Linked DNA regions of Oryctolagus cuniculus. The protein of the gene in region 1 interacts with the protein of each later gene in a pairwise test. Links are inferred from orthologs where the notes say so. Each region holds a gene or a part of one and is shown in the gene's direction. Other genes may lie near its edges.

Region 1 (3,500 bases):
TTAGGTTTGAGGGAAGTAGCTACTTCTAAAAGGTAACAGTTTTTAGTTTCATGTGCTTTTCATGTTATCTAGTTAAAACAAATAGTTCTTGCTCTCATATGTGTGGAGGTGTATATGTGTCTAAAACCCCAGAATGTTTTATTCCAGAGAAGACCATTATAGGATAGCATTTATTCAAATGATTCTTCCATCAACGGTCTAGGAAGTCATAAAGTTTTGACGCAGGAGTGGCCTAATTTGCCCTGCAAGAGTAGTGTGTTCTTTTAAGTATGATTTCTCTTAACTCATTTCACTTTTGTTCATTAGGCAACTCAGATTTTTTTATTGCCAATCTCCACTTCTGATTCCACAATGTCTCCAGCATCCCCTAAAGCCCAGCAGTCCAGTCAGTTATCAGACAAACTCATGGCTGAAAAGCAGGTAAGCTTAAAGTAGTCTAAGCTGGTGTTTCTTACTATGTACTGAAGAATGTTGTGTACAAATGAAAAATTTGACTTTGAAAAAATTCTTCAAGTAATTGGTCAAATAATTTTTGGGAAATGCCAGATTCAAGACTGTTATATGGTTTTGTTACTCCAATATGAGATGCAAGTATTGCAAGTGGTGGCTTAACCTTCTGTACCACAATGCTGGCCCCATCTTACAGTCTTAAAGTTGCTTGTTTATGGTGGTCTGACACCTCTGAGTAACATGTTGGAAGATAAGCCTTTCTTGATGTTCTCTGAGAAACAAGCTCAAGAGAGCATATACCTACAAACTGCTTCAGATTCTCTGCTCCTGTTCCCAGTGCCCCCTTTTTGCTTAAGTCCTACATTCTTGGTTATAATTTCAAAATTGATCCTTGTATTTACAATAAAAATGGATCATGAGGCTCTCAGTTCTTCACTGTGATGCCTGCCTGGTCTGTCAGGTGTACTCTCTCCATTAAACTTTGCTAGAATGCTTATTGGTAAAAAAAAATCATAAAACTATGAATGTTTTATTTAAATGTTTTTTTTTTTTTTTTAAATACTGACTTACTTATTTGAAAGGCTGAATAACAGAGAGGTAGAGAGAGCGATCTTCCATCTGCTGGTTCACTCCCCAAATGGCTGCATGGCCAGGTCAAAGCCAGGAGCCAGGGTGTTCATCTGGGCCTCCCACATGGGTGCAGGAGCCCAAGCACATGGACCATCCTCTACTGCTTTCCCAGGTGCATTAGTAGGGAGCTGGATCAGAAGTAAAGAAGCCAGGACTTGAATTGGTGCCTACATGGGATGCTGACACCGCAGGTGGTGGCTTTCCCTGTTACACCACAGCCCTGGCCCCCTAAGGGTATTTTAAAAATAATTTTTTTAAGATTATATTTATTTGAAAGGCGGAGTTACAGAGAGTATTCTGTCTGCTGGTTCACTCCCTAAATGGCTACAACAGCTAGTTGTGCTAGTCCAAAGCCAGGAGCTTCTTCTGGGTCTCCCATGTGGATGCAGGGGCCCAAGTACTTGGGCCATCCTCCACTGCTTTCCCAGGCACATCAACAGGGAGCTGGATTGGAAGTGGAGCAGCTGGGATTCAAATCTGTGCCTATGTGGTGTTGCAGGGCAGCCTTTAGCCACTATGCACAATGCCAACAATTTTTTTTAAAGATTTATTTATTTGACAGGCAGAGTGACAGAGAGTGCTCTTCTATCTGTTGGTTCATTCCCCAGATGACTGCAACAGTCAGGGCTGGTCTAGGCTGAAGCCAGGAATTGGGTCTCCATCCTGGTCTCCCACATGGATGACAGGGGCTCAAATACGTGGGCCATCCTCCATTGCCTTCCCAGGTGCATTAGCAGGGGGCTAACCTGTAAGCAGAGCAGCCAGGACTCAAGTTGGTACTTCTTTGTGGGATGTCAGGATTGCAAGTAATAGCTTAACCTGCTGGCCCCCTATTATTTTCTTATTACTTTTTTTTGTTTCTTATTTCTTTGCATTGTTTTTAATTTGCTTTGTCTAGAGAGTTAGAGTCCCCTTCTCAAATTTAGAATGTAATTACATATTTAGAATTAGGGACACAAGATTTAAGAGTATCTTTCAGGGTGATTCTGTGAGAATAGAAATAGATGTTAGACCTTATCCATTATACAAGAAACTATTTAAAATGGTTTGTACCAGGCCAGTGGTGTGGTGCAGTCAGTTAAACCACTGCCTGTGAGTCTGGATCTATCAGAGTACTTGTTCAAGTCCCAGCTGTCATCGCGCTTCTCGGCCTTTTGGATAAGATCAAGTGTAGTATCAAGTCCCAGCTGCCCCACTTCCAATTAGCTGCCTGCTAATGTGCCTGAGAAGGCAGCAGAAGACACCCCAAGTACTTGGACCCCTACTACCCTCATTGGAGACCAAGATGGAGTTCCTGGCTCCTGGCTTCAGTCTGACCTAGCCCTGACCATTGTCACGGCCATTTGGGGAATGAACCAGCTGATGGAAGATCTCTTCCCACGCCCCCCCACCCCAGTAACTCTACCTTTCAAATAAATAAATCTTAAAAAATAAAGTTATTGGGGCTGGCACTGTGGCATAGAGGGTAAATAAAACTTCTGTATGCAATGCAAGTATCCCATATTGGCGCTGGTTTGGGTCCTGGCTGCTCCACTTCTGGTCCAGCTCTCTGCTATGGCCTGGGAAAGTGGTACAAGATGGCCCAACTCCTTGGGCCCCTGCACCTGTGTGGGATACCTGGAAGAAGCTCCTGGCTTCAGATTGGCACAGCTCCAGCTATTGTGGCCATCTAAGGAGTGAACCAGCAGATAGAAGACCTCTTTTTCTCTGCCTCTCCTTCTCTCTTTGTAACTTTCACTTAAATAAATCTTCAAAAAAAGTTATTGACGCCAACTAGTCAGATTTTTCCTGTGACCATGATGCTTGTTTCTGAGTAATTCAACTATTAAATTATTTATAGCCGACACCGTGGCTCACTAGGCTAATCCTCCGCCTAGCGGCGCCGGCACACCGGGTTCTAGTCCGGTTGGGGTGCCGGATTCTGTCCCGGTTGCCCCTCTTCCAGGCCAGCTCTCTGCTGTGTCCCGGGAGTGCAGTGGAGGATGGCCCAGGTGCTTGGGCCCTGCACCCCATGGGAGACCAGGAAAAGCACCTGGCTCCTGGCTTCGGATCAGCGCAGTGTGCTGGCTGTAGCACGCCGGCCGCAGCGGCCATTGGAGGGTGAACCAACGGCAAAGGAAGACCTTTCTCTCTGTCTCTCTCACTGTCCACTCTGCCTGTAAAAAAAAAAAATTATTTTTAATATATTTTATAATTTTATATAATTATAAATTTTATATAAATATAAAATGCATAAATATATGCAAATATAAGTATATATAAATATATAATATGTACTATATATTATAAATATATATAAATACAAAATGTGAATTTTATATAATTTATTAATTTATATAATTTATATAAATATACAATGTGAATTTTTATATGATTTATTAATATAAAGTAGTTTGTAGTTTTTCTGAGCAGGGCTTTGC
Region 2 (3,500 bases), on another chromosome or scaffold:
TTTCAATTACTTTTCTGTAATGTGAATTCAAGTTTTAATAGTTTATTTTGTTTCTTTTTTTTTTTTAATCTAGATTCAGGAGGAATCAGATATGTGGAAAATAAGAGAACTAGAGAAACAGATGGAAGATGCTTACCAGGGGACCAAAAGGAGAATGTTGCCCAGCAGTTCAAGGTGAAGTTGCAGCTCTGAGAACCAAAATAAAGCTCATCTTTTTCAGGATTGTCCACTTTTTAAAAAAAACATTTTGGTATATTAAGGATAGATGAATTCTGTTCTGTGAGTCCTTAAGCCTTCCTGGTTTCATTCATTTAGACCCAAACAAAAAGAGATAATGACTACGATATATATGACTCCAATCATTGTACTTGATCTGCAGTGGAGAATTTAAAAATTCTGACTTGAACAGGTGAAAATGTCCAGAGTTCTGTGTATTCTGATTTTGCCTAACAGCTTATAACTTAAAATTTTGTTAGACTCTTACAGTCACTTAACTGATGAGTCATTCCTTTTTTCTAAGAAATTAGTCTTTCATTCTTTCAGCTTTTTCTTTACTCCATGGACTTACTGCCAGGTTTACAGCCTTTTACATATCCTTAATAATTTTGAATGTGAATGTGAAATATCATGCAGGCTTGGCCATCTCTTACTGTGGAGGTACAGGAATTTTCATGTAATTGGAAATATCTCTTGGCCCTCCTCTGCCTTTAAATGTAGGAAAGTAGATGTATCAAGTAATGAGTACCAAGTAATAATCCTGATTTCTAAAGCCATCCAAGGAAATAATTGGTTAATAGTGAGATATTTAAGGAGCGTATGTTTGTCTGCAGGATGTATAGATTTAATATATCATTGGCTGTGTGAATGGCTTCAGACCCGTATTTAGGGTATACATAAACAAAGCAGTCTCAACATAAATACCTTTCAAGTATTTTTTCTTTCTTTCATTTCATCTACTTGAAAGGCAAAGCAACTGCAAGGCAAGGGGGGATGGCGGGTAGGAGAGAGAGAGAATCTTCCATTTGCTCATTTACCTCTTTAATGCCCTCAACAGCCAGGTCTGGGCTGGGCTGAAGCCAGGAGCCTGGAACTCCATCCAGGTCTCCCATGTGGGTGGCAGGGGCTCAAGCACTTGAGCCACCATCTGCTGCTTTCCAGGTTGCATTAATACAGGAAGCTGGATTGGAAGTAGAGTAGCATGACTTGAACTGCCACTCCAGTAATGGAATGCAGGCATTCCAAGCAGCACCTTAATCCACTGTGCCACAATGCCCACCCTATTTTTCTTTTTGAAGGTGGTCCTTTGAGAATTTAGAAGTACTACAGATGATTTATTTTGTATTGGTTATTTAAGTGACATTTTCAGAAACAAAATGATTGCTTTTTTGTTTTTTTAAAGATTTATTTGTTTGAAAGGCAGAGTGAAAGGAGAAAAAGAGATCTTCGATCTGCCAGTTCACTCCCTGTATGGCCACAATAACCTGGCCCAAGCCAAAGCCAGGAGCCAGGAACTCCATCTGGGTCTCCCATGTGGATATCAGGGACCCAAGTACTTGGGCCATCTTCCACTGTTTCCCAGGTATATTAGCAGGGAGCTGGATTGGAAATGGTGCAGCCGAGACTTGAACCAGCACTCACACGGGATGCTGGTGTTGCAGGCGGCAGCTTAATCCACTGTGCCACAATACTGGCTCAGTGACTGCTCTTCTAGAGTGGACTCTTATTAATGTCTTTCATGGTGAATACATAATTTTAGTAATTGTTTCTTTATTTGACAAATAAAAAGTAAATAAATCTTTAAAACATAAGACAGTCTCTTTAGGGGCAGGGATTTTGAGCATCTCATTAGCTATTACATTTGTATTAGAACAGTGCCCAGAATATAGGAGGCCTTTAAACATTTTGGTAACTGATTAACTGACTTACTGTCAGGTTAGTAGACTGGTAAGGCCTTGTTCCCATTTCAGTGACCTCGCTACTGTTAGTTGCTGGTTTGTTGGAAAGGGAGGTGTATTTCAGAATCTCTAGGGTAGTTTGCGGTGTTCCCAGTGGTGACTGTGCTGTTTCCCTCCTTGTATTCTCTTCCAGTTGAGAACCAGTGAGTGAGTCACAGTATGACATAATCCAGAACTGATTTCATCTGTACCCTACATTAGGATGAGTAGTAGCGGTCCGATTTTTTTCCATTGGACTTTACAAATGTATAGACAGGAAGAAATAATGTCTGTTACAAGTTGTTGGTTTGTTTTTGTTTTTTTTTTTTTTTTTTTTTTTTTTACAGGCAGAGTGGACAGTGAGAGAGAGAGACACAGAGAAAAAGGTCTTCCTTTGCCGCTGGTTCACCCTCCAATGGCCGCCGCTGCAGCCGGCGCACCGCGCTGATCCTGGCAGGAGCCAGGAGCCAGGTGCTTTTCCTGGTCTCCCATGGGGTGCAGGGCCCAAGCACCTGGGCCATCCTCCACTGCACTCCCTGGCCATAGCAGAGAGCTGGCCTGGAAGAGGGGCAACCGGGACAGAATCCGGCGCCCCAACCGGGACTAGAACCCGGTGTGCCGGCGCCGCAAGGTGGAGGATTAGCCTATTGAGCCACGGCGCCGGCTCTGTTTTTTTTAATAGTAAGTATCAGGTTATTTTGTTCTCACCTCAGCTTGTTCTTTGAATTTTTTTTTAATATTTATTTATATAAATAAATGGAAGATGGAAGACCTCTTTCTTTCTCTCTCTCCCTGTGTAACTCTTGACTTTCAAATAAATGAATAAATCTTAAAAAAAAAAAAAAAGAGTTACACAGAGAGAGCAGGAGAGGCAGAGAGAAAGAGAGAGGTCTTCCATCCGCTGGTTCACTCCCCAATTAGCCACAACAGTTGGAGCTGTGCCAATCTGAAGCCAGGTGCCAAGAGTTTCTTCCGGTCTCCCATGTGGGTGCAGAGGCCCAAGCACTTGGGCCATCTTCTACTGCTTTCCCAGGCCATCATAGAGAGCTAGATCGGAAGTGGAACAGCTGGGATTTGAACTAGCACCCATAAGGGATGCCGGCACTGTTAAGGGTTTTGTGTATGCCACAGCACCGGCCCCTGTTCTATGGGTTTTGTGTATGATGTTCTTTAAAGTTCCCTCACAAATTGCTTTCAAATCTAAATCTAAATCTAAACATTCTGCTTTCTCTTATAGCCGGATGCGTAGTGATGGCTTTGATGAAGAAAGTCAAAGAGATTATTGGAAGCCAAAGAATGAAATTTCTGGGACACTGGAAGATGATTTTCTTAAGGCTAAATCCTGGAACAAGAAGTTATATGATTATGAAGCTAACATGCCAGACAGGTTTGTAACTAAATTCCTGTGACCACGAATGATATTTGCCTTGAAAACGTGTACTTGTCAAAAATTAAATTGTCGGGCCCGGTGCTGTTGTGCAGCGGGTTTACGCCCTGGCCTAAAGTGCTGGCATCTCATATGGGCATTGGTTCTAGTCCCAGCTGCTCCTCTTCCCATCTCTGCTA
Region 3 (2,722 bases), on another chromosome or scaffold:
GTTATTTTTAAATGTGCATGCCTTAAAGACCTCTAAATTATAAGTAACTTTATTTCCAGTAGAAACTTAAATAATACTCTGGGAAATTAAATATTTTATGTGGCACATAAAAGAGCTCATTCATGTATTTTTACTTAAATCGGTTCTAATATTCCTTTTTAGTGTGACCCAAATCTTCAGGTGTTCAATGTTTTCATTGATAACCTTGATACTCGTCTTCCACGAATAGCATTATTTTCTACAAGAACCATAAATGCTGGTGAAGAGCTCACTTTTGATTATCAAATGAAAGGTATGATTTTCAAATAAACTTTTATTGGTATTAGTTTCAATATGAAGGATCAAATCAGAATAGAAGACCTTAGATCATCTGAAAGAGACTAATGACGAAATATTAAAGATTAAAAAAAAGGCTATAGGAGCTGGTTCTCCTTAAGAGCCAGCATTAATCTGACGGCTAAGCTGGAACTTAGATCTGCGTGAAATTGCTTGGGCTTTGGAAGGGTCAGTCTTCTATATAATATTTACCTTCTGACTTTTTGCAAAACTTCCATTCAAGAAGCTGATTTATTATAACATCTTTTCTCAATATAATTTTAAGCCTATATTTGTAAAATCTTTACTAATTCATTACTAACATGTATTCTTAATGTAAATTAAATCACATGCAAACTTACTCCATTCCTGTTTGAATCTTTTAAGAATATTTAAGTCTGTTTGCTCTATTTTGATATTTTCCTTCGTTTTTCTAAGAATGATGCTTTTTATAGTTAATTATTTGACCTCGCTTTATGTGCTCTTAAATGAAATCAGTGAATTATATATGGAATTTTCCCGGTTAAAGTTTCATCATTTCAGAAATTCAGTCTCACAAATGCGGGCTAATAAGAGTCTATCTATTATTGGCCTACACCATCCTTTTAAAGGCAATTTATAATGACTTGTTTGTATTCATTTATCTAAAAATACAAAGGGAACTTAAATTTCCTTGGGAGTTAACTTATTCTGTTAATCTTAAGTATGTAGTCATCCTTGTTAACTACTTTAATAGGAAAGTTGAAATTCATTCTGAATTGTCTTAACTCTTTTTCTCCTGTATTTCTTCTATGTATTCAGGTTCTGGAGATATATCTTCAGATTCTATTGATCACAGCCCAGCCAAAAAGAGAGTCAGAACTGTATGCAAATGTGGAGCTGCAACTTGCAGAGGTTACCTCAACTGAATTTTTGGAAAATATAGCTGGTGATAATTATAGTTTTGTCTTTCTCAAATGCTATCATTTTTAAAACATACATTTGGGACTTTCTTCATAGTATTACAGTTGTACCTATTTTAATTCACAATCTATGTTTCAAGACATTTGCCAAATGCATTATTGATCTTTCTGAAGAGAGGGACCCAGGGTCACATGGAGTAATGATAAGTATCCATACTTAATGGCTAGATACCCCACATGGCAGACAAACTGTTTTCAGGTCGGCATATGCATACTAAGTCTGTGTAAATAGAGAAATGCCTCAACTATTTGGAAAGTGTTAAACTGATAATGTGACAGTTGCCGAAATCACATTCAACCTGCCATACACCTTAAATTCACAGAGTTAATTCAGTTTGAGTAAATATACATGTTCTATTTTTGTTACTATATTGTCATTCCTGTTTAATATTCACTGTACTTGTATTTGAAATAGATGATGCTGAATTTTATACTTTTCTACTTTTTCATTAAAACATTGGCATCTTAATGATATAGAAATGTAAGATAAATTAAATGTAAAAAATTAATTCAGCTTGATTTCATATTTTGAAGCAGTTTATCGCATTATGAGGGGAATATATCTTAACCTGTAATTCTTCAGGATTTTTTAGTATTTATAAGAAAAATCTCCAAAAATCCCTCTCTGAAAAGTCTAGAATGGCTGGCAATTTTGCTTTGATGAAATGACAGGACAGTAGGATCAGGAGAATTTTTTAGAGTGCCAGGCAGCAGAAATGGAGCACTTTAAAGGCACTTCTGAGTTGCTTAAATTAGAAGATCCGTGTTAAGTACCTCTGGTCTAAAGAGTAAAACAAGATACCTGGGGTGCCTTGGTACCTAATAATGTAACATACATTAACCTGATGTCCTTTCAATTTCAGGCTGTTTTAACATTCCTTTCCACCAAATTTATTTTTATATTTCCTGAAGGCTTTTCTTAAAAAGTAAACTATTTTGAACTGATACTTGTTTTATATATGAATTTTTTAGATGTGATAAACTTGGCCAAAGTATGTGTCTGAATTATGAGACTTTTTATTAGTTAATGTTCTATAAATACCTAAATGGGATATATTTGGGTTTTTGGTTTGATTTTTTTTTTTTTTTCCTGGCATAGTGAAACCTCAGTAAGGAAAAACTGCTTTCATCTCTTTCTGATTCTGGGATTTCTAAAGATGATGTCCAACATGAAGATAATTGTAGCAAATATATCTAGCTTTCAGTATTCCTGATTAACTTCACCCTAAAGCTAATTGCTTTAGGCTTTCATGACCTAAAGTAAGCATGGGTTTTAGTAAAATTGAACTTCAAGAATGCAGCACTTCAAATACCTTCTTGAAAACTCAGTGTAGTTAAAGGAGAAGCTATACTTTATTATTGATTATATAGTCATCACATAAGAGTTCTTTCATACTGTAGACATGTTTGGGGTCTAAGAGTGTACCTAATATCCACAATTTTCA
Region 4 (4,253 bases), on another chromosome or scaffold:
CCAGGCTGAAAGCGCCCTGAGCTGGCCATAGTCAGCAGGGAGCCCGGGTAACAGCTGCAGGTGAGAGGGCTCAAGCACGCTTCCGGTAAGGCGAGGCTTAGCAGAACTGGCAGGACACACAGGTGCGCTCCTGTTTTCACCAAAGTGCTACCATCTGAGTGCACGCTGGCACTACCTCTGTGCCAGCAATTCACGTCCATCAAGTCTTAAAAACAACCATATCCTTTGGCCCGGTAATTCCACTTCTAGTAGCTTACCAGGAAAATTTTAAACTGCACAGAGATTTAGCCAAGAGGATATTCACCCAGCAAGCTAGTATCCAAACTGTACATTAACATGGAGTTGGTCAAGTCAGTTAAAGCACATACGGCTGAGACATGGAATATTTTGCAATTAATAAAAACTAAGTATTTATTTTTAAATATTTTATTTATTTGAAAGAGCTGCAGAGAGAGGTAGAGACAGGGAGAGAGGTCTTCCATCCGCTGGTTCACTCCCCAGATGACTGCAATGGCGGAGCTGTGCCGATCCAAAGTCAGCAGCTTCCTCCGGGTCTCTCTCGCCAGTGCAGGGGCCCAAGGACTTGGGCCATCTTCTACTGCTTTCCCAGGCCATAGCAGAGAGCTGGATCGGAAGTGGAGCAGCTGGGGCTCAAACCGGCGCCCATATAGGATGCTGGTGCTTCAGGCCAAGCCTTTAACCCACTGTGCCACAGCACCGGCCTCAAAACTAAGTATTTATTAACACGAACAGACATTTATGCTAAAACCTGTGCAAAGGCTCAGCAAAGGAATCATGTCCAATATTTTTTTTTTTTGCTTAGAAAAGAACAAAAGCCATTTAGAGCATACCTCTGCAAATACATCCACCTGAAAGGGACTGCAGTCACTTCTGGCAGTGGAAGTGTGGGAAGTGTGGCTGGTTTCCTTCCTTTATTTTTAATCTTGGCTTTGACAGCTTGTAAAGCTGTTTTCAGGGAGTGTCACCCCAGTCCTCCTTATGCGTTAGGTATCACACGGCACCTTCTGGCCCCAAACCTTCCTGAGCCCTGATCACAGGAAAAGCAGTGTCTTAGTTAAAATTCCAACACGTTTTGCCAGCGCCCCGCTCCGGGTTTTACCCGCGGGCCACCTCGTCCTTTGTCCCGGGTGTACGCCCTTCAAGGAGCCCGTGGCTCCTCTGGCCACTTGCTCCATCCCGCCGGGCCCGCAGGGTTACTGTCAAACACCATCCTGTCCTTGGGTCTCGGAGTCGTTTGCACTGAGACCAACGGACAAGAACCATTGGGCCAGACTGCAGGCCAGGAACTGAGGCGCTGGGGCCTGGCTGCAGACTCTCACCCCGCGCAGCCCGAACCCTCAGGGAGACGGGAGCACGGCTCGGCGCCGTCTTCCGGGAGAGAACTCGGACGTGGCGCCGCGGCGAATTTTGTCCCATCGGCGGCGCCGTCGCGGGCAGCGGAAGGCTCGCGTCACGTGACGGAGGCCCGCAGTGAAGCGGAACGCGACGGCTCCGGGGGCCCGGGCGGGGGTGCGCTGCCGGCCGGCGGGATGGAGGCGACCTTGGAGCAGCACCTGGAGGACACGTGAGCAGTGCGGGCCTCTCCGGCCAGTTCTGAGGTCGCAGCGCGGGTTACGTGCGGGACAGCGGGCGAGACCCGCGAGCGCCGGAGGGCGGCTCGGGGACGCCGTGCCACCCCAGAAGGCTGGCCGAGGGGACGGGGCCGGTGGCCCGAAGTTAATATCCCGCTGGGGCCCGCAGCCTTCCTCTCGGGGCGCCGTCCGCAGGATTAGGTCGTTCAGGAGGGTGTCGCAGGTGTGCCGTCGGCCGCACCGGGTACACACACACACAGATCGTGTGTGCGATCTGTCATTTGGTGTTTAAGGAAATACCTGTTCCTTAAATGTGTTAACGTCTGTGTAAACTCAAAGCTGCAAAAGTCTAAGGTGTACGTGCAGACACCACCCTCCCAGCCACTCCCTCGTCATCCCACTTCCCTTCCGGGAGGCAACGCCTCTTAGTTTGTCCAGTTGTCTTACCTGAGCTGTTACGTAAAGCGTGCGGTTAGAACGGCGAAAAACCCCGCATCCGAACTGTTGCGTGCGCCTAGGCTTCCCAAACCCAGCAGATACTCATTCTTCTCTGCAGCTGGCTTCAATTACTACTTTAATTTTGCTCGGGGTTGGGGAGTGTGGTAGGAAAGAGGTCGAGAAACCCATTTAAAGCACTTAGGCAATGCCTGATAGCATGGCAGGCCCACGGGCGTCATAACCGTTTGCATCCACTTTCTCAAGCCCTCTGCCTCACCTCTCCTGTGTTTCTGGAATTAGGATGAAGAACCCGTCCATTGTTGGAGTCCTGTGCACAGACTCACAAGGCCTCAATCTGGGCTGTAAGTATCTCCTGCCAACCCTTTGCTGGACTGCGCCACACCTGGTGTTGACCAAATAGTATTTGAGTCATTTCAAACTGGGCCTAGACAGGACTCGCCCATGAGAGCTGTGAGCATGTGCTGAGCCATATGCGAGGCTCCACCTGCCTTGCTGCACTTTCCACAGTATCCCTGCATGATGGGTGGGTGCAGTGTTCTAGTCCAAGTACACCAACAGTGAAAATAGGAGATTCTGAGTTTGGCACAGCTGAGTTCAAACACTCCCCCCACCCCCACCCCGTTCTTTCATTTGCTAGTTGTGTGAACTTGGGCCTAAATGAACCTTTCAGGAACTTTTTTTTTTTTTTAATATTTATTTATTTATTTGAAAGAATTAGAGAGAGGGAGAGACAGAGAGATCTTGCATCCTCTGAGTCATTCCCCAGATGGCTATAATGTCCAGGGCTGGGCCAGGCCAAAGCCAGAATCATCCAGGTCTCCCACAAGAGTGGCAGGGACCCAAACACTTGGGCGATCTACTGCTTTCCCCAGACCTTTAGCAGGGAGCTGCATCAGAAATGGAGCAGAAGGACACAAACCGCTGCCAATATGGGATGCCGGCATCAGAGATGTGTCATGGCACCGGCCTCCATGGCATAGCTTCACTGGGCTCTTGTTTACTGAGACTAGTGCTTACAGAATTGCGTGCTCTTCCTTGAGTTCCAGGTACCATTCTAATGGTAACTCACGCACTCCTCCTAACAACCAACGTGAGGCACAGAGGTAAAGTAGCTTGCCTAGGGTCATAGGGCGGTAATTGGCTGAGCTAGAAATGGTGTCAGGGTCCAAAGCCTCTTCAATCACAATGCCGTGAGATTATATAATATGCTTAAGACAGTGCACACCCAGATGGAACATGCTCAGAGAATGACAGCAATCACAGATGAGGAAATGATAGATAAGGAAAATGATAGATAACTAGAGCATTTAGTTAATGTCAGAACTAGTAAACCCAGGACACGTCTTAGTGCAAGAATTTTTAAAGCTCTGAATTTTTGCTGCAAGGGTAACAAAGCGGTAATCTATAACTCAGTTGCTTGGAGAAAAAAGGCAAATGTTTTGACGCTTTTGCCAGACTCACTAATGGAAATACTGAAATGAAGTGTGAAACTCTATTAGAGTTGCTTCAAGAAAGCTTCAAGGTGCAAAAGATGGCGCCGTGCTGGTGAGTTGCTGTCAGGAAATCCCTCTGCCCACCAGCCACAGGCACGGTTCTGCTTGGCCTGCCTTCATACACACATACAGGACACAGTAAACTCAGCAGTTACATTTTGTGCTTGGGACCCAAGGTTCCGTTATCATATACAAGCTAAAGCAGTCAGGAGTAGAAGACAATCGTGTGGGCATTTGAAAACAGCCAAGTAGCTATGCTAGCAGAAATAACTGCTCACAGAATGTTCACACGTGCCATCGAGGAGATCTGAGACTGCGTGACTCCTCAGGAGAGGAAATCCGCTTTCCCATGAGGAATGAATTAGCTTCAGCAAGCCTCTTGCGCGTATTGACTGCTTTTTGTCAATCTCACCTCTAAGCTTTTTGTTTTCGCAAGGTTCCTATCCAGTGAATTTATGGTTTTCAGAGTGACCTGAATTACAGCGTCCTGGTATGTTGAAGCTGTTTACAGATGGTGATAGGTGTGTCAGTTATAGCTTACTGATTTATTGATTTTTGTTGCCCGGCTTTCTCACTGATGTAACCACTGAGCGTCAGGGAACAGTCACTTCATGTAAGCACCAAACTTAAAGGACCAGGACCTGAACCTCCTCTTTGTGAATCATTCAGTGAGATACTGTTGCTCCAAACTTACTTGTGGCTCACCAGG
Region 5 (4,170 bases), about 130 Mb from region 1:
GGACACACCTGCAGATGAATTCCCAATCTTTTTCAGAGCGACCCTGTTTTCCAAGCGTTTTTGGCCTCAGCACTTTGGATTCGCAGTATAGCTCCAAAAACCCACACAGGTGCTGCCGTTCAATTTCACGGAGAATACCAGGCCTACGAAGACAAGCCCTTTGTCATACCCTGCTCTGTCTTCAAGGCATGGTACAGCTTCTGACACACAGGACCCATGCTCCACAAAGCGTGTTAAATGAATAGACTTTCCATTAGATGTATATGGAAGAGGCTGGCGCTGTGGAGGAGCAGGTAAAGCCGCCATTTGTAGCATCAGCATCCCATATGGCCGTTGGCTGGAGTCCCGGTTGCTCCACTTCCGGTGCAGCTCCCTGCTATGGCCTGGGAGAGCAGTAGAAGATGGCCCAAGTTCCTGGTCCTCTGCACCCACGTGGGAGATCTGGAAGAAGCTCCTGGTTCCTGGCTTTGGCCTGGCCCAGCCCTGGCTGTTGCAGCCACCTAGGGAGTGAACCAGTGGATGGAAGATGTCTCGCCCTCTGTCTCTGTCTCTGTCTCTCTCTCCTCCTGTAATTCTGACTTTCAAATAAATAAAATCAATCTTTTTAAAAATTTAAATTAAATTAAATATGTATTTGGAAATATGATTTGCATTGTGCAGGGGAACAAGGATTTTCAGACACTACTAGCGAGCGAAAAGCATGACTTGGTTTAACCCTGTGGAAAGGACTTGGCCTCACGCATCGGAAGCCAAGTACTTGGACTATCTCACCAGGCTGTGCCGGTTCTGGGGACTATTTGGAATTTATCTTAATTTTTTTTTAATGAATGTATAAAGACGCTTCCAGGAGGGGCCATGGCAGTTCCCAACGGCTCCAGCGGGCGGGGGAGAGCCGCGGCGGCAGCCCCGCAGCCCGGCTTCGCTAGGCTGTCGGTACCCGGCACGCACCCGCCCTGCTTCCAAGGACACCTCTGCCGAAGGCGCCACGAAGGAAGCGCCCAAGAGGAGGTCGGCGATGCTGTCGGCTAAACCTGTTCCCGCAAAAGGGAAAACGAAGCTCCAGAAGGCAGCTGGAGGGATGAGTAGTCGGACATAAAGGTATCTGTGAAATGCGACAAACGCCATCGTTTTTACCCCGGGGACCAGAACTCAAGGATTCCTTTCGCAGGTGCAGCCTCCCCCTGGGAGGTCACCCCTACTGCATCGTCTAAGGACTACAACTCCCAGCTTGAAGGAGGTGGCTACGCACGCGCTGTGGCGACCTACGCCTACACTTCCCAGAGAGCCTAGCGGGTACGCTGACGCGCGCGTGCGCCCTCGCGCCCCTTCCTCTTCCAGCTCGGATTTGACCTACAGCTGCCCGGGAGAAGATGGCGGCCCCCGCAGTGTGCGGGCTCACCCGGCAGGTGAGAGAAGCTAGCTGGGAGGACGCCCTCCTTGGGGAAACTTGTACCAGAGCCTGCGCGCTAGGGTTCGAGGCCACCGCTGGGAAACCAAGGCCGCCGTTCAAGGTCGTGGGGCCTGGCGAGTGAGGGCGGCCCGGCTCGCGTCCCCCGGGACGCCTGTGGGGTGCCCGGCGCGGTGCTGGGCGCGCGGTCATCTCGGCGTCCTCAGGGCACAGCCCGGGAAACCCCTGGCGCCAGGGGCCACCGGCCAGCCCCGGGCTTCGCCGCCTGGGCTGTTCCATAAACCGTCGGGGGTCGCTGGTGACTTCAGGCGGATTTCCCAGGTTTATAAAGGACATGAGAAGTTCAAATGGGGCGTCCTGGGCTGCTTGGGTAGTGAGTGATGGGGTTAAGACCCGAACCCCAGTGTCACCGAGAAAGTGGCGTTGGGAAAAATAAATCAAATAGCCGCGCTTCCGTCTCACCGCGATGCTTTGCGCACTTGACCCCGCTGTAGTTTCCATGATTTCCCCATAAGCCCGAAAACCCTGCCCTTAGAGCCGGTTTTAACACAGTGCGTTCTGGAGCTCAGAGCCCTGGAGGGCGGTCCGTGCCTTTGCGGGTGCGTGGATTATGGCCCTTGAGAGCCGCAAGGGCATCGCTGGGGACTTGAACTTGTGCGGTCACGCTCCCGCGCCCTAACCACTAGACAGCAGGTGGATTCCTGACAGCCCATCTGTTACAGCTCCTTACGGATTCCTCCCCCTTGTGTTAAAATCCCGCTCAGAAATGTTAGATGTTAACTTCCTGGAAGGTAGCGTTTTCTCCTTGGTACTGGGCGCTTGCCTCGGCCGGTTCCTGGCAAACTAGGAGATTACTGGGAAAGCGATTTTCCAAACAACGTGGCGTGATTCTCGGTGAGAACATGGACTCCTGGCTAATAAAGACAGCTCACCCGCGTGGAGTCTATGTCAAAAAACATCGTTTAAAAGGCAGCCTTAGGTCGCGATTGAATGAATTACAGAGATTCTCGAAGACATTTCTTTTGACCTGTTTCCATTCTTGCTTTGAAGGTGCGAAGCTTCAGTACATCTGTGGTCCGGCCGTTTGCCAAGCTCGTGAGGGTAGGTCCTTTATACACACGCCTGTGTGGGGGAGGGGCCTGTGGGAGGGTGTGCATGCTCTAGCCCTACAGTCAGGCCGTGGCCTGTGGTGTCGCTTCTACGTAAACCTTTGCATGTTGTTGCGATTCACAAGACACACGTGCGCAGGGTGGGGACGGTGATGGTGGAGGGTGCTTGCCCTGTGACAGACGCCAGCGGAACCTTTAAGTGGGTGAGAAGTGACTGTCACATCCCTGCCGTCGTCCAAGCACCAGATCGCCCAGAGCCACCCTCCACGTGAGAAGTTCTCACCGCCCCTCTGCGGCGCTGGAGCATGGCAGGCCTTGCCGTTGTGTGAAAGGGGAAACTGAGGCTCCAGGAGACGGTGCTTTGCTCGGCCTCACTATTGCCTGGGCTTTCCCCTGTGCAGCCACGCAGCACCACGCGGCACGTGCAGTCGTACATTGACTGTGGCGTGTAGGGAAAAGGCCGCAGTCCCCTGGGGAAGATGGTGCAAGCGTGGGCTCTGTGGCGTTGAACGCTGGGGCGTGGGGGCCGGGAGCGGAGCCCCAGCAGCGCCGCCGCAGGGAGGAAGGGGTGCCTGCGGGCGCTTCCTAAACGTTTGCCTGGTCAGGCCAAGGAAACACCCAGACCCCTAATCGGTGTGAGGGTTTGTTCTTAGGACAGCCCTCTGATGACTGTCCGTGCCGTGTTGTCTGTACGAAGCACGGTTCACCGATCTCCCTCGGCTTCCCTCTCCCTCTCAAGCCGCCGGTGCAGGTGTACGGCGTGGAAGGCCGCTATGCCACCGCCCTCTACTCGGCCGCCTCCAAGCAGAACAAACTGGAGCAGGTGGAGAAGGAGCTGCTGAGAGTAGCGGTAAGCGCCTCCCCTCACTGCGCGTGCGCGGTGGCCCTGCGCGCTTCTCTGCTGTGGCGCCTTAGCTGTGCGTCCTGACAAGACAGCTTCTGGGAGAGGAGTCACAGAATAATAATTCTCTTACGCATGCTGTTAGCGATAGTGTTGGCTTGTCTTCTGAAACTTCTATAACAGGAACAAGCAGATACACACACGGAGAGTAATGCAGGGAACCTGGCTTTGGGCTGAGACGAGATAGAAATATCACTTCAAATGTAAGGTGATGATTTAAGAAAAAGTGCCATTTCAGGAAAGGATTTAAAAGGTTGCCTTCAAGAATCCGAGCTTGCTATCCAGCAGTTTCTACAACAGTGTTTAAAATGCCTGTTGGTTTTGTCTGAGAGTTTGTTTTCCTTATGAAGCCGTTTCCTGGGTTTTAATTAGTAGGTTGTTCCCAAGACGAGAGGGGAGGATGGCAGCCGCGCCTCCTGGGCAGCAAAAGGAGGGAAGGTGGTGGGCGCCTTGCCGACGGAACCGCAGGGCAGCCCCTGGGCGGGCCGGTGCCGTGCTGGGTAGCATGAAGACTACGTAAGGTGCGTTAGCAGAACGCTGCAGTGCAGCTGAGACGGGAGCAGCCCTGCTCGCTTTGCCCCGACGTCCCAAGTTCCCGCCCCTTCCGCTGTGTCCCCTCGGTGTACTTTCTCCTCGCCCCTCCCCTCTGCCAGGAAGGGAGGGGTGGGAGGCACAGTCCCATGGGTAGCCTGTGCCGTGTGACTGTGTGTTTTCAGAACACCTTGCATTTTTAATCCATGTACTTAGAAAAC
Region 6 (3,500 bases), on another chromosome or scaffold:
CTCTCTCTCTCTTTTTTTTTTTAAGATCTTTTTACCCGAGGTATTGATATACAAGCTGTGAATGTGGTAATAAACTTTGACTTTCCAAAGCTAGCAGAGACCTATCTTCATCGTATTGGAAGATCAGGTGAGAAGAAGGGAGGGAGTATTCTTGCTGGAAATTATGTTTTGAGATTTACTAAGAACATTTTGTTCCTTAATGGAAAAATGGTGTTATAATGGGCCTTTTCCCACAGACTTTTTGAGCACCCTTTGTAGAGTGTGTTACTTATGAGAATAGTGAATTAATAGTAATTCAGTTGTTTGATGTTTAAGAATAATTAAGTTCTCCTATTTTTAGAATATTAAGAAAAGTATAATTACCCTATACCTAATTTAAGATAAAATTAACACATGAGAACATTTCTTTTCTCATTAATAATCTGTACTGTATTCTGTATCTTCTGACTCAAATGGGCAGCTACTTTTTTACTTGAAAAGGTAAAATACAGTGTAACCATCCTTCAGTATCTATGGAGGGTGGTTTTCAAGGACCCCCTGTGGATTCAAAATCTGTATGTGTTGAAGTCTTAACATAAAATGGCATAGTATTTGTATGAACCTATCTATATCCTCCCATATGCTTTGAATCACCTCTAGCTTATAATACCTAAACTAGTGTAAAATACTTATAAATATATTCCCTCCACTGTATTGTTTAAGGAATAATGACCAGGAAAGGTCTGTACATAGTCAGTACACACAAAATATTTTTTCCCCAAATATTTTTGTTCTGTGTTTGGTTGAATACATAGGTATTGTAAAGGTCTCACTCTTCTGCTTTGGAGTGTGAAATCTGAAGTTTTAGCATAATATGTATTTGATAAGACCCATAAGAAGTATCATATTCAGAATGGCACTGAACATAAATTAGTCTTGTATGGTTTTGGGTTTTTTTTTTTTTCTTTCCACATTATAGACTGGCACATATACACATTAATTTTTATACTTAGTTTTTAAAAATGAATTTATTCAGAACAGAAATGTAACAGTGGACATTAGGGAGCCTTGCCTTTTTCTGCTAGTTCCCCCAGTGTTTGAAAGAGGCATTAGGCTCCTGTTGGCCTTTCCTGTGCATTGGTGTATACACACAGAGACACACATGTATGTACATTTGTTGTTGAGAACTGGTCAGACCTTGAGAGGTGATATGTAAACACTGGACAGATGCAGTAAAAAGAACTTTGTTGAGAGAAAAAAAATGAATTTAAACTTTTTTTTTTTTTTTTTTTTTTTTTTTGGTTAGGTCGCTTTGGTCATCTTGGCTTAGCCATCAATTTGATCACATATGATGATCGTTTCAATCTGAAAAGTATTGAGGAGCAGCTGGGAACAGAAATTAAACCTATCCCAAGCAACATTGACAAGAGCCTATATGTGGCAGAATACCACAGCGAGCCTGTAGAAGACGAGAAACCTTAACAAGCATGTGAGTACCTGACAGAACCTCAGAGGGGAAGTGTGCTGCCATCAGAGTCTGCAGCAAAGGGAGATACCAAAGATAGGCTTTAAAATTCCAGCTCAGCAAATTAAGATGTTTTCTGACAGCAGAATTCTTACCCAGCAGCTAGGCTATCATTCACAGATACAGCCAGGAAAACAAGGTACAGACCACCAAAAACAAGACTAACCAGTCCACACAATTCAGATCTCCTGTACTCAAAGGAAAACTTAAGCGTGTGCTGTCAACAGTGGGGTCCCTGCCATTGGTGAGTCAGCAGCAAGCAGACATGTGCTCCACTTGCTCATGCACATCCATCTGGTGTTTTTCCCCCATTAAGATTTATTTATTTGAAAGGCAGCGTGACAGTGGGAGAGGGAGAGACAAATGTTCCTGTCTGCTGGTTCACCTCCCAAATGGCTGCAATAGCCAGGTCTAGGTCAGACTAAACCCAGAAACTCCATCGTGGTCTCCCTGTAATACAAGGGAGTAATCCCAAGTACTTGAGCCACTTGCCAATGCCTTTCCAGCTGCAGTGGCAGGAAGCTAACTCAGAAGCAGAGCAGCTGAGGGTCTAAACGGCATGATCGTCTCATAGGGGACGTTGACTTCAGAACTGCAGTTTAATCTGACACCAACCCCAGGCTTGGCCATCTTTAGCTGACGCAGTTCCCTTCCAGGAGGAATTTGATACCGCACCATGTATAATGGCAATACAGGGTGAAACACTGTTGGCATAAATTACAATAAATAGCAAATATCTCTTGGGTGAGGTTATATTCTCATTAGAGAATCTATAAATGGTGTCCTGCAATGCAGGCCTCTGAATAATGTGATAGGTGAACCAATACTTATGACAATTTTAGACTCCCAAAATAATGAAAGCAAAAAAGAATCTTTCTCAGCCATTTTGAATATTTTTCACTCATCTTTTTTCCTTTTTCAAAGTCATCCCTCTGCTTTTAACACTCTGAATTTCTAATGTATGTATTAAAAAATCAGTTAAAAATGCTTGTAGTCCTTACTACCAAATTTGTAATCAGGTTATGAGGGATGACTGCCTTTTTAAAATGTCCACTTTGATTTTTGCACACTCTCTCCGTTCATCTTTTCTTTAAAAATTTGTTTATTTATTGGGCTATGATTAGAAACATGTAAAAAAAACAAGGCTCAAAATTTAAAAACTGAATAGTATATTTCCTAAAGAAAATCTCATTTAATTTGACAAGGTAGTTTGCAAATTATAATAAACAAACACAAAACCATTAGCTAAACTAGCCAATGTTTGCTTAGTACTTTGGCGGACTATTTCAGTTTATGTAAAATAAGTTTTTTCCCTTTGATTCAATTGTTGTAAATGAACATTCAGCCTCCCATTCTTTCTCGGGACAAAAATGCCTTAGTTGTAACCAGTGGATTCTACAGGTAAAGGCTTCAGTAGAAACTGGTAGAGCTGAGGATTGTGAAAACCTGTGTATCCTGCTGTGTGCTGATTGCCCAAATGTTGATTTTAGTTTTTCCCTCTTTATAGGCTTTGACAAACCACAGAAGGCTCGTTTGGATCTGTGACACATCATTTTTTGGGGGGATGCTCTTCTCTTTGTGGGTTTTTCATCTTCTTTTATTTTGGAACTATGAAGACATAAAAGATCTCAGACATTTTTTTCTTTTTTTAACTGGCGAAGAGAAAAAAAGCTGAAAAGAAGGGATATACCTTTTTTGTTCCACTTGTTTGCACTGTGTGCTGACTGAACATTAGTTGCACTAACTGCTGGTTTTAAAAAAAATGTTTTCTGGGGAAAGGGGACAAGGAAGGAGGAGAAAGAAGAGAAGGGGAGAAACCCTAAAAAGAGAAGAATCTCAATGAACACACAAGCTTGTCTACGATTTCAAATTTCTCCAACAGCTGACTCTCGTGCATTTCAACTTCTCCCTGATTACTCATCCGTTTTTTAAGCCTGAAGAGCTTATTACTTATTTGTGCGAAGTGCCTTATGCTATGAGACCATTCAGAATATCA
Region 7 (4,023 bases), on another chromosome or scaffold:
GGTCTGGGGGGCTGCAGCCTGGGGGCGATGCCCCCTCCCCGTCACCCCTTCTCATCGTGCGTCCGGAAACCTGGCGCTCCGCAAGGGTGCGCCCTTGGGAGCCTCCAGTGCGTCCTCCCGCGCGGCCCCACTGGCTCAGGCTCAGCCTCGTCCTCTTAGTCCTCTTAGATGTTCTTGCTCCTTTTCCTTCCCAGTCCACAAAGGCAGGATGCAGAGGAAGGCCAGCAGGGGGCCGAGGGCGCTGGCGCTGGGCGCAGGAGACAGGGACGTTTGGGTTCTGGCCACGGAGGCCAGCGGCTTTGGGCAAGCTGCAGGGATAGTGTCCCTGGTCGGGGGTGTTGTCACCGGCTGATGAGGTGAGTCACCCATGCCTGGGCCAGTGCTGTGCCTCGTGCCCGGGTTGGTGCCATGGCGACGGCCGGGACAGGGCTCTGTTCTGGCTCCTGCATACTTACTGCGTAATGATAGCTTCAAGTCTGCCTGATACACGCACGCCCATTCAGGCAGGTAGGAAGGTCCGTGGTTAGATAGATAATGGGGAAGAGAGCTGTTAAAATAATAATAAAAAATCAACTTTCTACACTCTAGTACCCAATACAAAGCTTACACAGTTGCTGGAGTGGCTCATGTCTTCCCTGAACTCACTTTCAGTTGCTGTCTGCAATCAGGTGCGTACCCTCCAGCCCGGTTTTCGCTCACAATTGGGTGAATTGAGGAAGTAACTTCAGGCTGGTTTTTCTTTCACTGCCACAAAGGTCCACAGAGCTCCCGGTTCCTGCTTGTGGTGAAAATCGTCTTAAGCGATGAATGAGGACCCAAGACAAGCTTACTCCTGAGTTGCCACGAGCCCTGGCTGGCAGGCAGCTCAGGCATCCCCCCGGGGTCCCCAGGTTCCCTCCCTGGTCAAGAAGTTTCTTGGCTCCTTCTACACAGCCTCCCCATCATTTCCCCCACACGGTGGTTGATTTAGCTAAGACCCATGCTCTTTTGCAGTTCTTTGAGGACGCATTAGAAATCGCCTTGCAATTTTCCAGAGGCGACCAAGTCCCAGAAGCGGCAGGGACATAAAGGCAGGATGAACTCCGCAGCAATTCAGAGATAACCGGGCCGGGCAGCAGCAGGGGAGGGGGCTTCCTTTGCTTTTCCTCCAACAGCCAAGATGGACGCTGGCTGGGGTCCATGGCATGGAGCTCGGTGAGAAATCTGCTACTCGATCCTGCAGGAGCGCCAAGGGTCTAATGTCAGCTGAGCAGCTCGCAGCCATGCTAATGTTTCAAAGGGCCTAGGAAAGCCAGAAGCCCTGGCTGAGTGGCTGCGACGCCTGGTCTCGCAGGCTGCACGCCTGCCCCCGTGAGCAGGGCAGAGCAGACCTCGCCTAGCTCAGAGTCGACATGACACGGTTTGTTCCCTTTTGGCCTGTATGAGTTCTGCAAGCCCGGGAGACCTGCCTTTTCTGAGCACCCGTTGTTCGGACAGCACTGGCCACTAAGGCATTTTCAACTCTTTCAAAAACTCCCAGGGCAGAGAGCAAATTTGAGGAATTCCTTTTTTTTTTTTTTCAAAGATTTTATTTTTTGCCCCTTCCAACATTTTGTTTAAGAGAAAATGAGATGTCTATCTTCTGTTTCCTTATTTTTTTTCAGGAAAGCAAAGGGTTGTTGACTTCCTCCCTCTCCCCTCCCTTCCTTCCTTCTTCCCGAAGGTACTCATCTGAGAAAAAGAGAACGAAGTATTGTTCCTGTTCTCTTTCTTAAGTCATTTGAAACACTGTCCCTGCTAGTTCTTTACGTTCCCTGCAATCTGTACACGAGAGAAACAGGGAGAGAGAGAGAGAGGGAGAGAGACAAACACAGCCAGCAATCAGGCCGCTGGAGCCATTGAATCCTCAGGAGCTGGTAAGTTCCCCCCCACCCCCGCCCCCCGGGCAATCATTTCTGTGTCCCTGGGCTGGAGGTTGCTGGGGGCATCTTCAACCGAAAAGCCCTCCCTGGGGCATCGCTGAGGGATGGCCCAGAATGTATGCTTCTGTTTTTGGTGGGAGAGAATCCCGATGCTTTGCAGAGCTGAGACTGGCAGAACTGCAAAGAGACTTGCCATGGGGCCAAGGAAGGAGACCCCTGTGTGAAATCTGAATTTGGGCATGGACAAGGTGGCTGGCTTATCCAGGAGCCCTGGGAGGGCGGGATGTGTCCCACTGGAGAATTTCATTCTTCTTGCGTGCTGTGTCCTCGAAACCTTATCTGGGCGTCTGCTAAGATTTGTGGCTTGCGTTGGGGTGTTTGTTGCACCTTGGCTGGATGGAGGTGCCTGTCTCTTGTTCTCTTCTTTCCATTCAGCGCTCCACCCCCAAAAGAGGACAGTTAATTGTTGACTGTTGTTCTGCATCACTGAAGTGTAGGAAGGAAAAACAGAAGGAATCGTGGGGGCTTGTGTGATCTGGTTCTACATGTGGGTTTAGTGCAGATTTATTCACTGTCAGTGGAAGATGGCATTTGCCACACAAATGAAGGTAACGATTGAGGGGTACAGAGCTGTGGCTTTGAAAAACAGCGTGCAACCAGAATGGGCAGGTGAAGATAGTCACTTGTGTCACTAGGAGTGAGAGACTTAAGCCATAGACACAACTGGGAAATGTTCACTCTCTGCCCGGTGTGTCAAAGCCAACTATGGGACCAGCAAGCTAGTTAAACTGACACTTTCTGAAGGTCTAACTTGCTTCAATTCAATTCGTGAGAAAGGATGCTGTTACCAAGAACTCATCATAGTAAGCCACGAGGGAGCCAAGATCGCGTTGTCAAAAGTAGGTCAGCAAGGTCACTGTCAAAGACAGTGAGTGTTTACTAATGTTAACAAGTTCACTGCAAAGCTACCAAATGGGTGAATGGCAATGACCTTGCATATTTCTTAAAATATTCATTTTTATGAAACTTCCTCATTGAAATCACCTAGAATGTGAAGAGCTTGACAAAAATAACTGGACTCTCATTTTAAGATTAATTTGGCCAGACTCTGCTTTAACCAAAATCAAATGATTACTCTGTGCAAGACTGAGCCATGAGCTTGATGAGGATGAGGAAATATCAGAGGACTGGGCCTTTGGGCAGGCTTCGTTCCAAGAGTCTCAGCTCTCTTTTTCTTCTCCTTTATTCGTGGGTCTCCCCTTAGGAGCACTGTAAAACAGGCGACGTAAGAGCGGTGACTGCCCTTTGCTTTCTTAGCGATGGAAAACGATTCCAGTAAGTGTTGAGCATGGTGTCTAGGTGCCCCACCACTTACCCCAGTCGCCCCGTTGTCAGGGATGTTCACGTCCGCAGGTAGCTGGGATAGATCATCGGGGCGATTCGCATCCTTTATCAGCAATTGATATGCCAGGGGAGAAGCGGGCTGCCATCCCGACGCGCTCCTTTCAGTTTCATTTCTCCTTGATCATGAACTTAATGTTCTGTCCAGTTAAAGCAACATCACAGAACACTCTCCAGTTTGGGCCATTGAAGAAAAGCATCAGAGGCAACACAAAGGAGACAAATAGAAGTATGGTTCCTCTGTGCTAGTCAGGTTGCAAGTGCAGAGGCCGGTAGCTGAGAAAACACCACTTCTGGCAGGCGTCTTCAAGGGGGCAGCCCGCGAAGGGGCTGGGATATGCTATTCTCTTTCAAAGAAAAATTACATACTCACCGTTTCATTTAGATTGTTGAGTCACGAGCATGAGAATATTTGTTTGATACCCGGAGGAGGGAAAAAATCAACTAATTTCCTGAAGCAAAAAAGGCCGTTGATGAGTTAGACTACTTGCAACCACTCACTATCTTTACTGAACTCCAAGGAGTGACTTGGCATTCGTGGAAACTTCCAGAGTGTGATTTGTCTTTGGGGTCATCAGAGGTTCTGTTGTGATTTCATTAGGGGAATTCCAGTTTGGAATGATCCAGAATTTGACCCATTGCAAGTTTTCAATAGTTAATTTCTGCTCCAGCCACGCACCTAGCTAAATTACGCATTCGTGGTATACGTTATAAATCCTAT

Evidence for each region.
Region 2: the proteins of CEP70 (region 1) and NKAPD1 interact in binary tests that used the Homo sapiens proteins (3 or more experiments, as listed by UniProt). The two-hybrid records come from large-scale screens. The link is inferred for Oryctolagus cuniculus from reciprocal best matches to the Homo sapiens genes CEP70 and NKAPD1.
Region 3: the proteins of CEP70 (region 1) and SUV39H2 interact in a two-hybrid assay, tested with the Homo sapiens proteins (2 studies listed by BioGRID and IntAct). The link is inferred for Oryctolagus cuniculus from reciprocal best matches to the Homo sapiens genes CEP70 and SUV39H2.
Region 4: the proteins of CEP70 (region 1) and LAMTOR5 interact in binary tests that used the Homo sapiens proteins (3 or more experiments, as listed by UniProt). The two-hybrid records come from large-scale screens. The link is inferred for Oryctolagus cuniculus from reciprocal best matches to the Homo sapiens genes CEP70 and LAMTOR5.
Region 5: the proteins of CEP70 (region 1) and ATP5PO interact in binary tests that used the Homo sapiens proteins (3 or more experiments, as listed by UniProt). The two-hybrid records come from large-scale screens. The link is inferred for Oryctolagus cuniculus from reciprocal best matches to the Homo sapiens genes CEP70 and ATP5PO.
Region 6: the proteins of CEP70 (region 1) and DDX6 interact in a two-hybrid assay, tested with the Homo sapiens proteins (2 studies listed by BioGRID and IntAct). The two-hybrid records come from large-scale screens. The link is inferred for Oryctolagus cuniculus from reciprocal best matches to the Homo sapiens genes CEP70 and DDX6.
Region 7: the proteins of CEP70 (region 1) and ZNF366 interact in binary tests that used the Homo sapiens proteins (3 or more experiments, as listed by UniProt). The link is inferred for Oryctolagus cuniculus from reciprocal best matches to the Homo sapiens genes CEP70 and ZNF366.

The regions. Positions count from the first base shown.
Region 1 is NC_091435.1:143,204,905-143,208,404, forward strand, and holds part of CEP70 (centrosomal protein of 70 kDa), read left to right. Parts: intron 1-306; coding exon 307-420; intron 421-3,500.
Region 2 is NC_091432.1:104,026,853-104,030,352, forward strand, and holds part of NKAPD1 (uncharacterized protein NKAPD1), read left to right. Parts: intron 1-73; coding exon 74-174; intron 175-1,399; coding exon 1,400-1,579; intron 1,580-3,171; coding exon 3,172-3,321; intron 3,322-3,500.
Region 3 is NC_091444.1:41,010,219-41,012,940, reverse strand, and holds the end of SUV39H2 (histone-lysine N-methyltransferase SUV39H2), read left to right. Parts: exon of another isoform or gene 1-162; coding exon 163-292; exon of another isoform or gene 293-1,116; coding exon 1,117-1,223; 3' UTR 1,224-2,222; downstream 2,223-2,722. UniProt on the Homo sapiens protein: Histone methyltransferase that specifically trimethylates 'Lys-9' of histone H3 using monomethylated H3 'Lys-9' as substrate.
Region 4 is NC_091438.1:59,944,330-59,948,582, forward strand, and holds the start of LAMTOR5 (ragulator complex protein LAMTOR5), read left to right. Parts: upstream 1-1,453; 5' UTR 1,454-1,550; coding exon 1,551-1,585; exon of another isoform or gene 1,586-2,330; coding exon 2,331-2,392; exon of another isoform or gene 2,393-4,253. UniProt on the Homo sapiens protein: As part of the Ragulator complex it is involved in amino acid sensing and activation of mTORC1, a signaling complex promoting cell growth in response to growth factors, energy levels, and amino acids.
Region 5 is NC_091435.1:11,119,937-11,124,106, forward strand, and holds the start of ATP5PO (ATP synthase subunit O, mitochondrial), read left to right. Parts: upstream 1-1,370; coding exon 1,371-1,406; intron 1,407-2,458; coding exon 2,459-2,509; intron 2,510-3,256; coding exon 3,257-3,367; intron 3,368-4,170. UniProt on the Homo sapiens protein: Subunit OSCP, of the mitochondrial membrane ATP synthase complex (F(1)F(0) ATP synthase or Complex V) that produces ATP from ADP in the presence of a proton gradient across the membrane which is generated by electron transport complexes of the respiratory chain.
Region 6 is NC_091432.1:111,506,235-111,509,734, forward strand, and holds part of DDX6 (probable ATP-dependent RNA helicase DDX6), read left to right. Parts: intron 1-25; coding exon 26-127; intron 128-1,285; coding exon 1,286-1,461; 3' UTR 1,462-1,468; intron 1,469-3,011; 3' UTR 3,012-3,500.
Region 7 is NC_091445.1:38,467,995-38,472,017, forward strand, and holds the start of ZNF366 (zinc finger protein 366), read left to right. Parts: upstream 1-1,223; 5' UTR 1,224-1,895; intron 1,896-3,276; exon of another isoform or gene 3,277-4,023. UniProt on the Homo sapiens protein: Has transcriptional repression activity. Acts as a corepressor of ESR1; the function seems to involve CTBP1 and histone deacetylases.